Linked DNA regions of Caenorhabditis elegans. The protein of the gene in region 1 purifies or fractionates together with the protein of each later gene. This does not show direct contact. Each region holds a gene or a part of one and is shown on either strand. Other genes may lie near its edges.

Region 1 (2,907 bases):
CTGAATGGCTCTTCGTCGCCGGGTATTATCTCCAAGCTCGGCTGAGAATCGGTGATATCCTCGGAGGATCCGAAAAGCAGTATGCGATCCGGCAAGTCCAGGAGCGACTCGGCAATGCTTACAAGCACATCATTTCATCACCATGGAGGTCACTACCGGAACTGACAAATGCTGATGGAGAATACTGTATGCAGAGTTGTGCTGCCCAGGCGTGGTCCGTCGGTTGCCTGATTGAAGCATGTGTAAAACTTAATACTATCGAGGGATGATATTTTCCTTTTTTTTAGAATTCAGAATATTGCATGTATTTCCTTGTTGCATTTCTAGCTAACTTACCATTTTTGATTTTTAAGTTCAACTTTTTATATAGCTTTGAGCCAAAGAAATTTGAAACAAAATGATGAAAAATAAAGTATTGTACAAAAAATGGTGATGTGCTGATTTGGTTATTTACACACAAAAACGAGCTCGAGGATACCATTCTCGTGAGAATTGAAGGACCGGTTTTCGAGGCGTGCTGCAATGATGATCCAGAAAGTGTGTGGATGAATTGGGGATAGAAGGAAATAGAATTACTGAGAAAAGCAAAGAGATCAACGCGATGGGGATTTTGGAGGCTTATAAGGAGGTCGTATAAGAATTTAAGATTGACGGATGGGGAATATTCAGGCGTTATTTGCCTGCTCACAGGCATCCACCCAATCAGAATAGACGTCGATTGGCTCGGAGAGGTAGTTGATGTTTGTTTGGAAGTCTTCAGAGCAGACACGACACGAGATATAACCGACATTCTTTTCGCGATCCCTGGAAAATTATTACGTTTTTTTTTGAAACGATTTTCCTTAGAAAGTACATTTTCACTTCACAAACGCGTTCATGATTGCAAAACGGACAGTTGAATTGGGTGTCGAGTGGCATTACAGCCTTTGCCTTGGTTGGAGCCTTTCTCTTCGACTTTCGCTTTCCCATTGCTGCGGATTGTTTGGATTGGTTCTGAAAAACAATTATTAAGTTCGGGAAACGTAAAAAGAACAGAATATTTTTGCAGAAGGTAAAAATATGTTCCAATCTCGAAAAAAAAGTTCGAAAATTACATTTAAATTGCAAGAAAATATACTAATATACAAACCACTCAAAAATGCGACACTCAGAAATACTATATTGTTTTTTTCTGTATTCTAAAAACTATAACGTATGCACAATGTGAAAATTTTTCGTGAGTGTCGGCTTGAAATTCCACATTTTTGGACTTCAAATTCACAAAATTTTTTGAATCATCAGGTTTTATATGGAAAATTTACCTATTTTGACACAAAACATAATATTTCTATCATATAAAAACGGCAAAAATCCGGCAAAAAGTAACACGAAAAACAGCCAAAAAAGAAATTTCGAAACAAAATTGGCGCGAGGAAGACAGTTAGATGCGCAGGTTTTCTCGACTACGGTCTGCAGTACACGTTGCGTACTGCGTACAAAAAATGTTGACCGTAGTCTCCAAAACAATTAAGCATTTATCGGACTTTCCGGAGCAGGATTTATTCATTTTATGCTTAAAATTAAACATTTCTCAATATTTTATCAATAAATTAAATGAGAAAATTGTTTAAATCGTTAAAAAGCATTAAATAATGCTGAAAAACGTTAATTTTCAATAAAATATCTTTCTAGTGATGCAATGCAACTCAAAATTATAATTTAACAATTAAAATTATCTAAATTCAAATTTAAATATTCAGATGGGCCTCAAGGGATTCACCGGTAGTTTTCAACAAATTCGCGGACTTCTACGACCACCAAAGAATCTCCCGTTCCGTGGAATTTTCCGGAAAGACGGAGAAGTTGTGCGAAAAGACGATTTGCTGGTGAATCAATTCAAAATGAATTATCATCCAGGGTTAAATGTAAGATTTATTATCAAATATCTTTGATTATTGAGAAGTTATTCAGGTTTACTATGAAAACGATCGCGGAGAACGTCTTCTGCGTGCCCATTGCGACGGAATCGTTCGTATCTCCCAGGAAAAATGCGATCCGGACTATGAAATTGAGGAGATGAAGGGATACGAGTATAGGAAAGACGTGGATTTGTACAAAATGACGTTCAATGTGATTCCGCTGGAATTGTCTCAGAAGCACACGCTGCGACATGAAATTTAAATTTAATTTTTTGTCGATTTTTTTTTTGGTTTTGTTGTGTTTAATAATTTTCTGACGGGCTATGGTCAATTAGAATAGTAAATAATGTTTTTCCGCTCTGGATAGCTTAATTTTGTAATTTTTAATTGGTTTTCTTGCCATTTTTACCTATTTCCGTCCTATTTTTCCCCTCCTTTCCAACCAAATCTTCCAGATGGATAACCCGGATGGTCCGAATTTGGAGCGGGACGTTCAGCGTATTCTAGAGCTCATGGAGCACGTTCAGAAGACTGGAGAGGTCAATAATGCAAAATTGGCATCGCTGCAGCAGGTGCTACAATCCGAATTTTTCGGTGCCGTCCGAGAGGTCTATGAGACTGTTTATGAATCAATTGATGCGGATACAACGCCAGAGGTTCAGTTTTTTTTGATAAAACTGACAAAAATGCCGGAATTGAAATTTCCGGCAAATCGGCATATTGCCGGAATTCAAATTCCTGGAAAATCGGCTTATTGTCGGAATTGATAATTCCGGCAAATTGGCAAACTGTCCGAATTAATACTTCCGCCATATCTGCAAATTGTGGTTTTGCACATTTTTTTTGGAATTTTCAAAATTTAAATTTTAAAAAATTCAAAAAGGCACAGTTTTAAGTGTTTCCGTATAATGAAAATCCCTACAAAAAATTCCGGAAAATCGGTAGTTCGGCGAAAATCAAAATTTTCGGCAAATCGGCAAATTGCCGGAAATGCAAATTATGGCAAATC
Region 2 (4,682 bases), 4.1 Mb from region 1:
ATTTTCGATTTTCTGGAAAATCTTGAAATCTTTTTTTTACTTTAAATTTTTTGAATCAAACTTTGCCTGTTGATAAGAGAAAAAAAATACTTTTTCACTAAAAGGAAGCAAATTGACCGAAATTTTAATGTAATTTGTGAACAATGGGAAAACGAAAAAATAGCGATTTCTCTGGAAATTTTTTTTGAAGCCGACACCGCAGAAAAATTCGTTTTTTGAGATCAATGTGAAAGCGCGCTCAGCAGCGAAATGAGCAGGATCCGCCTCCAATAGTTGGGTCTCGTTAGGTATTGGAGGCAAAACAGTGAATCTCTGAAGCAGACATTTTTCGAAGACATCCTTGATTGCCGAAAAATAAAACGTTTGAATTTTTAGGCTTTTGCCGCCAATTAACTAACGAGACCCATTGTATTGGGGCTGTGGAGCACGCTCGCACACTGATGGACAGAAAAACATCTGAAAATAATAATTTTTCTGAAAAAAAAGTATTTTAATTGATCAATAACCAATACAGAGATATCATAATCTATATCACAATAAAACAAAAATAATTCATTAAGAGCATCGATAACAAAAGAAGTGTTCAAAACGAAGAAGAAATCAAAAATAGAAAACAAATAAATCTAAAACTACAACTCCTATCTCACACTACCACATGGCTCTTTGGACTCCACTGAGAGCTGATCTATCTGCAAATCGACGGAACAAGTGTCTACTCAATCTGTATGGCTTTATCTTTCCACGTTGTCGTCCTGTGAACTGGCACATATTGAGAATCAGACGAGGATGATCGTATTTTCGAGCTTTTTGCATTTTCTCGGCTGCTTCGTCACGAATCGCTTGCGGGAGAATTGTGTTGAATTTGATAGCTTTTAGACGCATACGATCCGCGCCGACTTCCTGAAATTAAATTTTAATCAAGGGCAAGCAGCAGGCCTGGGCTTGTTTAAGGCTTTTTTGTCAAAAATGGGGGTGTCGGGGGTTTTTTGTTACAAAAATGGGTTTTTTCTGGTTTTTTTGGTTTGTGGGGGTTTTTTTAATAAAAAAGGGAATTTTTTGGTTTTTTCGTCACAAAAAATGGTTTTTTTTTTGGGTTTTCTGTTTTGTGGGGTTTTGTTTTTTTAAAAAGTAATGATTTTCAATAACGATTTTTTGGTGGTTTTCGAATAAAAAAAATATTTAAAAAATTTCAGACATGTGAAAAGAAGCGAAAAACTTTTTTTTGTTTATGGAAAATTTTTTTTGGTGACAGCCCTGGTGTTTTTTGGTATTCTGGCACGAAGAAAAATGCGATTTTTTTTTTGTATTTTAAACAATTTATATTTTGTAAATATTCTTATGGTTTTTGATGTTTTTTAGCTCTGTCGGTAGTGGTGGCCGCTAGCAGTCTGGAGGTCACGAGTTCAAGTCCGGCCTCACCCCCTAGGTTCACCCAGCCTCTATTGGGAAGTGGAGCAATCCACGACTGGATTATCGGCCACAGTCCCCGGCTAGGACGTGGCTTAAATTACAGCCCAGAGGGATCACCACCAGGCAGTGTACCTGAATCCCAGATCCGCAGTGCATAGCACTTGAAGAACGGATCGTCCTTTAATCCTTTAATCCTTTAAAACAAATTTTTTGGCACATATGACAATATTCGTATTTTTTGGTATTTTTTGTTTTGGTTCTTTTACAAATTTCAATTTTTTTCCTTTTTGGTTTGAAATAAAAACCAAAAATATTTTTAGCACATATGACAATATTCGTATAAAAAATAGAAACCAACCTGAATCTGCTCACGTCGTTTGACATCTCTCAACTGACGCCAACTCGCCCAGAATGTCATTCGTTTTCCGGTTTTCCACCATTCTCTCTCCACGTATCTATAGAAACGTATATTCAATACAAGTGTATAGTTTATGTGCAATTCTTTCTCACTTTGAGAATAAAAAAGCGGCAGGCAATAATTTCAAAAATATACAAAAAAAACCAAAAACCTACAATGGATACTGATCAAGTTTCAATTTTGTAAGCGCCTCGCTAGAATATGGTTGAGTGATTCGTTTCTCTTTCATAGGTTCTCCAGCATCTTCTACAGATGTTGCCGGTTCCGTGGATTCCGTAGTCTCTTCAGATGATGGTTTTGCAGGTTCAGGAGCTGGAGTTGATAAATATCTGGAAATTGTTGGACATTTAAATTAAGCCATAAGACGATAATTCCTGTTTTCTCAGCGCGAGAAAAGGATTGAGTTCGAATAACAAATTTTGAAATTTGAAAACCAAAAAAAAAGTTTTCCATTTAGTTTTTTTTTCGAATAAAAAAGCAAAAATTGAACTTTTCGTCAAAAATACGAGTAATTTCGCAGGCCTCAAACGTTTTTTTTTGTTGAGAATTTTCGAATATTTTAATAATAATTGCATTTTACTTCTAATTTCAAGTGTAAGTTTTCGGAAAAAAAAGGGAAATTCTAAAAATTAATTTTTTAAAAACGTTTCCATTTTGTGGCAGGTTCACTTTTTTCAACGAAAAATTTTCGCTTAAACAAATTTTATAAATTGAAAGTTTAAAATATTCTCGAGTGTAAAAAAAGCAAAACATCAAAATTTTTCGCCAAAAGCAGGATTTTCGCATAGTTTAAATAATAATTAGAGAAATCTATACTCACCTTCTACTCATCATCATTTCATTCTTGTAAAGAGCCGTCGATAGTAGGTCCGCTGCTCCGCGGAGTGCCCTCAACATCTGTGCACATACATTGCAATACATATTTAATACAATTATTCATGCATGGAAGGAACTGGTTGGAGGAAGTGTAACCTCTTTCATGATGAAAGAAATATGACATTAAAACGAATATTTTCATTGTTGAAAACAAAAAATTTTTACCGAAACAAAAAATGCGAAAAGACAGAAGAATTATAATACAAAAATAAACATAATCTGTCGGATAGAAAGAACAAAAGAAAGAAAGATTCCTGGGATGAAATGAATACCGGTGGATAATTATATGGAATGGATTTTTAAAAAAGTTATAGGCCGAGTTACACAAAAAAGAGAGAATCAACGTCCGGATTCGGAATACTGTAGTCCAATTTCCTGCTGTGTTTTCATGTATTCCTCGTCGGTCACAAATAAACTATGCTCTTGTCCCATGCTTTGTTCGAGAATGAGGTAGCTGTAAATAGTGTTATTTAGAATGCATTGGCATGTGTGCTGATTATAATTGCATAGCGTTTTAATAAAATTTATTCGCTTTGTATTGTATTGTTGTATATAGACTAGACTAGAAATCGAAAAAAAATAATACGATTTAAATTAATTATACTTCGATAATTTGAACATTGTAATAAAATCAATCTTAGTTGATTATTTTCAAAAATCGGGCACAACAAATTACATTTTTGAACTGAAACTTTGCTCTCAATAATTGAACTTACATCATCTCCATTAGATCTCCATTCTTGCGGACAGTTTTTGCTTCAATATAATCAAAGTGCAAATTGAGAGCCCATGTACATTGACCTCTTGCACGAGTGTAAGCCTGTAAGAAATTTAAATTTCACATACAACCTTTTTTCCTGAAAACTCACATCGTCCTTTAGAATCTTCTGTGACAATTTACTGGCAACTCTTATAACTTGTCTCCAGATAGCCGGATCACGTGTATTAGCTGCTTCTCGTTTCCAATTTTTATAGAGGATTTGATTTCCGGCGTCTCCAATCCGGTTGGCTGCATTCATCCAAGAGAACATAATAGTCAACGAGTTCATGAGAAGACGAGTTTCAAGTTCTGGATCAAATTGCTGATCTCGTTTCGCATTCAAAATACTATTTCTGCTGTCGGTGAATCCTTGAAGCTTCATCACTTGCAGACGACCGCTGGAATGCAGCTCGCCGAGCATCTTCGCATATTTCGAATCACATGGGAACGCTTGCGATGCTTGGAAGATCAACTTTTTGAAGTTTTCATTGTAGATGAAACGGTGTTTTTTGTGCGAAAAGAAGGTTATGAGAGTGTCCGTGATGAATTTCAAATCGATCTGATCACAGTATTTTTCATAAGTTCCACGATTGAAATCATTTTTCTTGGCTTCAAATTGCTCGAATTTGGTGATCGCGTTGGCAATGAGGCAGTCGACTGCACGCCTGCTGAATGCCATCTTGTCCACTGAAATTTAATAAAATAATCAATTAATTTTTACAAAGACTCAAAGACTATAAAACTCACAGAAAACAAATACCGCCACAACTTTCAAAGCTTCGCACAGTGCCTCAGCTCTTGGTAATTCTGGTATACTGTCGACCGATTCAAGATTGTCCTTCTCCTTGCAATGCTCCAGCAATTCGTTCAATCCTTGATCCAATGCCAATAAGAGAGCTTCATCACTTTCAAATTCCGAAGTGTGAATTCCAAGAATCTCTTTACAGAAAACATCTCGAGTCTCTTCTAAAGCATTTTGATTTAGAATAGAAAGTCTTCCACGTAGAACATTGGCATAAAGATGTAATTGAAGCGTTGGCAATGAAGAATCAGCGCTCTGAATGAGCTTTTCTGTTGATTTGGGGATAGCTATATCAATCATATCCCTAATCTTATCACGAATTGTTTGCACTCGTTCTTTGTCTTTCTTTAACAATATGACATCGAATTTAACATCATCTACGACGCCTTCCTCCATCTTGATCTCTTTATAATTCT
Region 3 (3,289 bases), on another chromosome or scaffold:
CTGTTTTACATCATTGTGTTGTTTGTGCATCCAAAACGTAAAAATTATTGTGAAATATCATCTTAAATATTTAGTGGAGTGTAATAATCAAATAATCTTGAATAAAGTTGCGCAGGAAATCTGATGCATTGTGTTACGGTGGGTGCACAAATTTTCCAAATGCACCGAATTCCACGCGCAATTTCAATTTTTAAAGTTAAAGCCACCAAAAAACATAGTTGTACCATTAGATTTCTGGACTGACTATGAGTATTCATTTTTCACAACTCTCTTTTTCACAACGTCAGTAATATTTTCCCTCCGCTGTTGCAACTTATTTAGTCACAGTAAGTACTGTATTCAAACCTGAGTTTATTTACGCAAATTCGCCACTGATGTTTGGTTCGTTTCTGTTAATGATTCAACTTGTTCAACTCATACTGTTATAACGAATGCGTTCTCTTTAAGTTGTGATCTATATTTTATACATTTTTGTATTTTTGAATTAATCATTAACATTTTTTTTAACTATCACAAATTTCACTTCACTGTAGTCTTGGAACAATGTGACTTGGTTCATGATAGTTTAATTTTAAAACTCTAACGAAACAGAACAAAAAGAAAACAAAGTCTAAAAACAACTGCTACAATCGAAAACTTAAATTTAAAAAAAATTAAATTGAAAGAGAATCATTTCGGTGGTTGCTCTTCAACTCTCATCGTTGTGGCATTAAATCGTGGTTGGAACATTGCTGGTCCTGCATTCCAAGCTTCAACTTTAACTGGCAATTCGTTTCCGTAAAGATCCAAAAGTGCATTCTTATCAACTTCCTCGTAGATCGACACGCTTTTTGTTGAAGGAGCTTCCTGAAATGGTTGAAAATTGAAAAATAAAATTTTGTGAGTTTCGGAGTTTTTTATTTCAGCATATACATAGTTAATCCCACCTGTTTGATGAACGGCTTCAAGTGCTGGAACTCTGGATCGACACTAAGTGTGAGCGGAGCCCGTCTTGACACAGTTTTCTCATCCAAACCATTTTTGCGAGCACTTTTCTGTGACAAATGAACTTGAAGTGGTGGCAATGGAAACGAATCGGGAAGAACAAGATCTTGCATTGGTGTTGTGCTCGATGTATATGATTTTTCTTGATGTCTGAAAATAAACGAAAATTTCGAATCCTCAATTAAGAATTGCTTACTTGTGTACCAGCTGCCAGTCACTTCTGTTCAAATCCTTTGAAAACTCATAAACGCCAAGATTTTTTCCACGAAAGACCCATTCAGCATAAACTTTTCCTTCGAATAACCATCGGTCCATGCCTGGCTCTGCCTGAAAAGTTTCAGTGATCTTTGTTCATGCTAAAAATCAAGAATGCCCTCAAAATCTTCATATATGACGGATTATTCGGCCATTTCCGTGTCCATTCATTCTTTGTAACAAGACGACCGACACCAAACTGAAAAAAAAACAATTGAATCAAGGGGGAAAACAGCAGAATAACATACGTTGCGGAGTTGTGAGAGAATCTCGAACAAAAACTTTCCTTCCGATGCAATATCATGATTTCCAACAAATCTGATTAAGTTTGAAGACATTTTTATCTGAAACTTTTAAAATTGACTGTGAATCTTGAAGAAAAGGAAAAAATTAGAGAAACAAATTAAATGCTCGAAGAGAAGAAAAAGAATAGAAAAAATGCGCGGCGTGCTTGCAATGAGGCGCAGTGCAGCCGTTTTAGCCCCGCCCCTTGAAATATTCTTCCTTTTATTTATTCAGATTTTCAACTTTAAAATTATTTTAAGCATGTGTTTAGATGTTTTAATTTCATTTTCCCAAACTAAATAAAACTTTAGACAGTTTTTTCATGTAATTAATGACAAAAATGCCACAATTTTCGGTGCAAAACAGTTTTAAAGAAAATGTTATTTTTAAAAATTCATCAAACATTGCTTTTAAATTGTATTTCACTTCTATAATGATCACTCGTACTCATTAACTCAGTTATGTGTGAATGTTATCAGTTTTACAGAATGCGGATAACTCAATCGGCTCAAATCTGTTTGTCAGTCATCAAAAAGAGTCAGAAAACCGGATTTGGTCCAAACAGGCTTCAAAGAAAGGGAACACATTTTGTAGGAACCGAACCACCAGTTCTGAAATATCATATTGTGAGTCATTTCGGAGGTTTTAAATATTTATTGATTAATATTTAGCTTCAAGACAAAAAACCAAATGAGGAATACGGTCTGCAAGGAACCAACCACGAGCTTCCCGGAACTGGAAAAGTGCATAGTAAGCTACCAACTAAGGTATTCAAATATATTACTCGTATGCTACCTTCTGAGCTAATTTTTTTATAGGTTCACATGAAAAAGGATAAAGTTTACGCATGGTGCAGTTGTGGATATAGTGGATCGCAACCACTCTGCGATGGATCCCACAATTCAATTCGAATTCCCGATCTTAAATTGAAACCAGTACGATTTATTCCTGATAAGGACATGACGGTGTGGCTATGCAATTGCAAGCAAACAAATAATCGGTAAGATTTGTTTTTTTGTAAAAGTTAAAAAGTTGCGAAAAATCGTGTTCCTAGAGCTTAAGGAAATTAAGTTAAACTAGTTTCGGACTTTGAAATGAGACGTATTTAATTTGGAAGGTTATGTTCAGATTACCTTATATTGAATGACTTGCAAAAAAATTCATACAAAAAAACCATCCCACGGAAACCCTTTATTCAATTCATAAAAAGCATTATTCTCTCATGTCTTCTACACAAAATTGATCTTCACTCCGTTTTTGAGAAATGCACCGAAATCCATCACAAACACAATGTACTCATCGCTGAAATTAATTTAAATTTGATCTACTAAACGAATTCAGTTTCACTTACACCTTGGAAAAGTTGTACAATTCCAGAGAGTTGTACTGTTTAGTCCTAACTCTTCGAACTCTACGTGACCATCCAGGCTCCAATTCCACGTGGTACAGTACTCCCGATTGATCAGGTGGCAACGTTTGGAAGTATTCGCGAAGAAGCGAAGTGATCACTCTGTTGACTTTTGTGGTCGATTGTACTTCCAATTCGACAACGTTGCTGGAAAAATAAAAAGAATCACGGTATGTTTGCTCATGTGCCTGCCTACATGCCTGGCTTGCCTAAAAATATGATAACTCACTGTTGAACTCCGAGAATATCCAGCTGCTCCAAAACATACAGCTTTACACCAATCATTTCCTGAAGCAATGGATAAATCAGCCGGAAGTCTCCCTTTGCATTGGAAAGGTTGTCCATCACCGACCCGAC

What was found.
Region 2: the proteins of Y54G11A.17 (region 1) and mrps-14 fractionate together in Caenorhabditis elegans (co-fractionation; one large-scale study listed by BioGRID). This does not show direct contact.
Region 3: the proteins of Y54G11A.17 (region 1) and mrps-34 fractionate together in Caenorhabditis elegans (co-fractionation; one large-scale study listed by BioGRID). This does not show direct contact.

What each region holds. Positions count from the first base shown.
Region 1 is NC_003280.10:14,348,239-14,351,145, reverse strand, and holds Y54G11A.17 (L51_S25_CI-B8 domain-containing protein), read left to right. Parts: upstream 1-1,739; coding exon 1,740-1,904; intron 1,905-1,950; coding exon 1,951-2,160; 3' UTR 2,161-2,260; downstream 2,261-2,907. Other genes in the region: agl-1 (Glycogen debranching enzyme), read left to right, coding at 1-269; elof-1 (Transcription elongation factor 1 homolog), read right to left, coding at 666-804, 854-969; Protein lin-7 homolog, read left to right, coding at 2,354-2,554.
Region 2 is NC_003280.10:10,239,766-10,244,447, forward strand, and holds mrps-14 (Small ribosomal subunit protein uS14m), read right to left. Parts: upstream 2,726-4,682; coding exon 2,649-2,725; intron 2,158-2,648; coding exon 1,984-2,157; intron 1,866-1,983; coding exon 1,769-1,865; intron 901-1,768; coding exon 649-900; 3' UTR 540-648; downstream 1-539. Other genes in the region: nrde-2 (Nuclear exosome regulator NRDE2), read right to left, coding at 3,044-3,158, 3,421-3,524, 3,574-4,151, 4,212-4,682.
Region 3 is NC_003281.10:4,540,870-4,544,158, forward strand, and holds mrps-34 (Mitochondrial Ribosomal Protein, Small), read right to left. Parts: upstream 1,584-3,289; 5' UTR 1,578-1,583; coding exon 1,488-1,577; intron 1,439-1,487; coding exon 1,358-1,438; intron 1,312-1,357; coding exon 1,181-1,311; intron 1,135-1,180; coding exon 927-1,134; intron 847-926; coding exon 670-846; 3' UTR 551-669; downstream 1-550. Other genes in the region: cisd-3.1 (Iron-binding zinc finger CDGSH type domain-containing protein), read left to right, coding at 2,013-2,150, 2,196-2,291, 2,343-2,524; M88.3 (RING-type domain-containing protein), read right to left, coding at 2,754-2,826, 2,876-3,079, 3,162-3,289.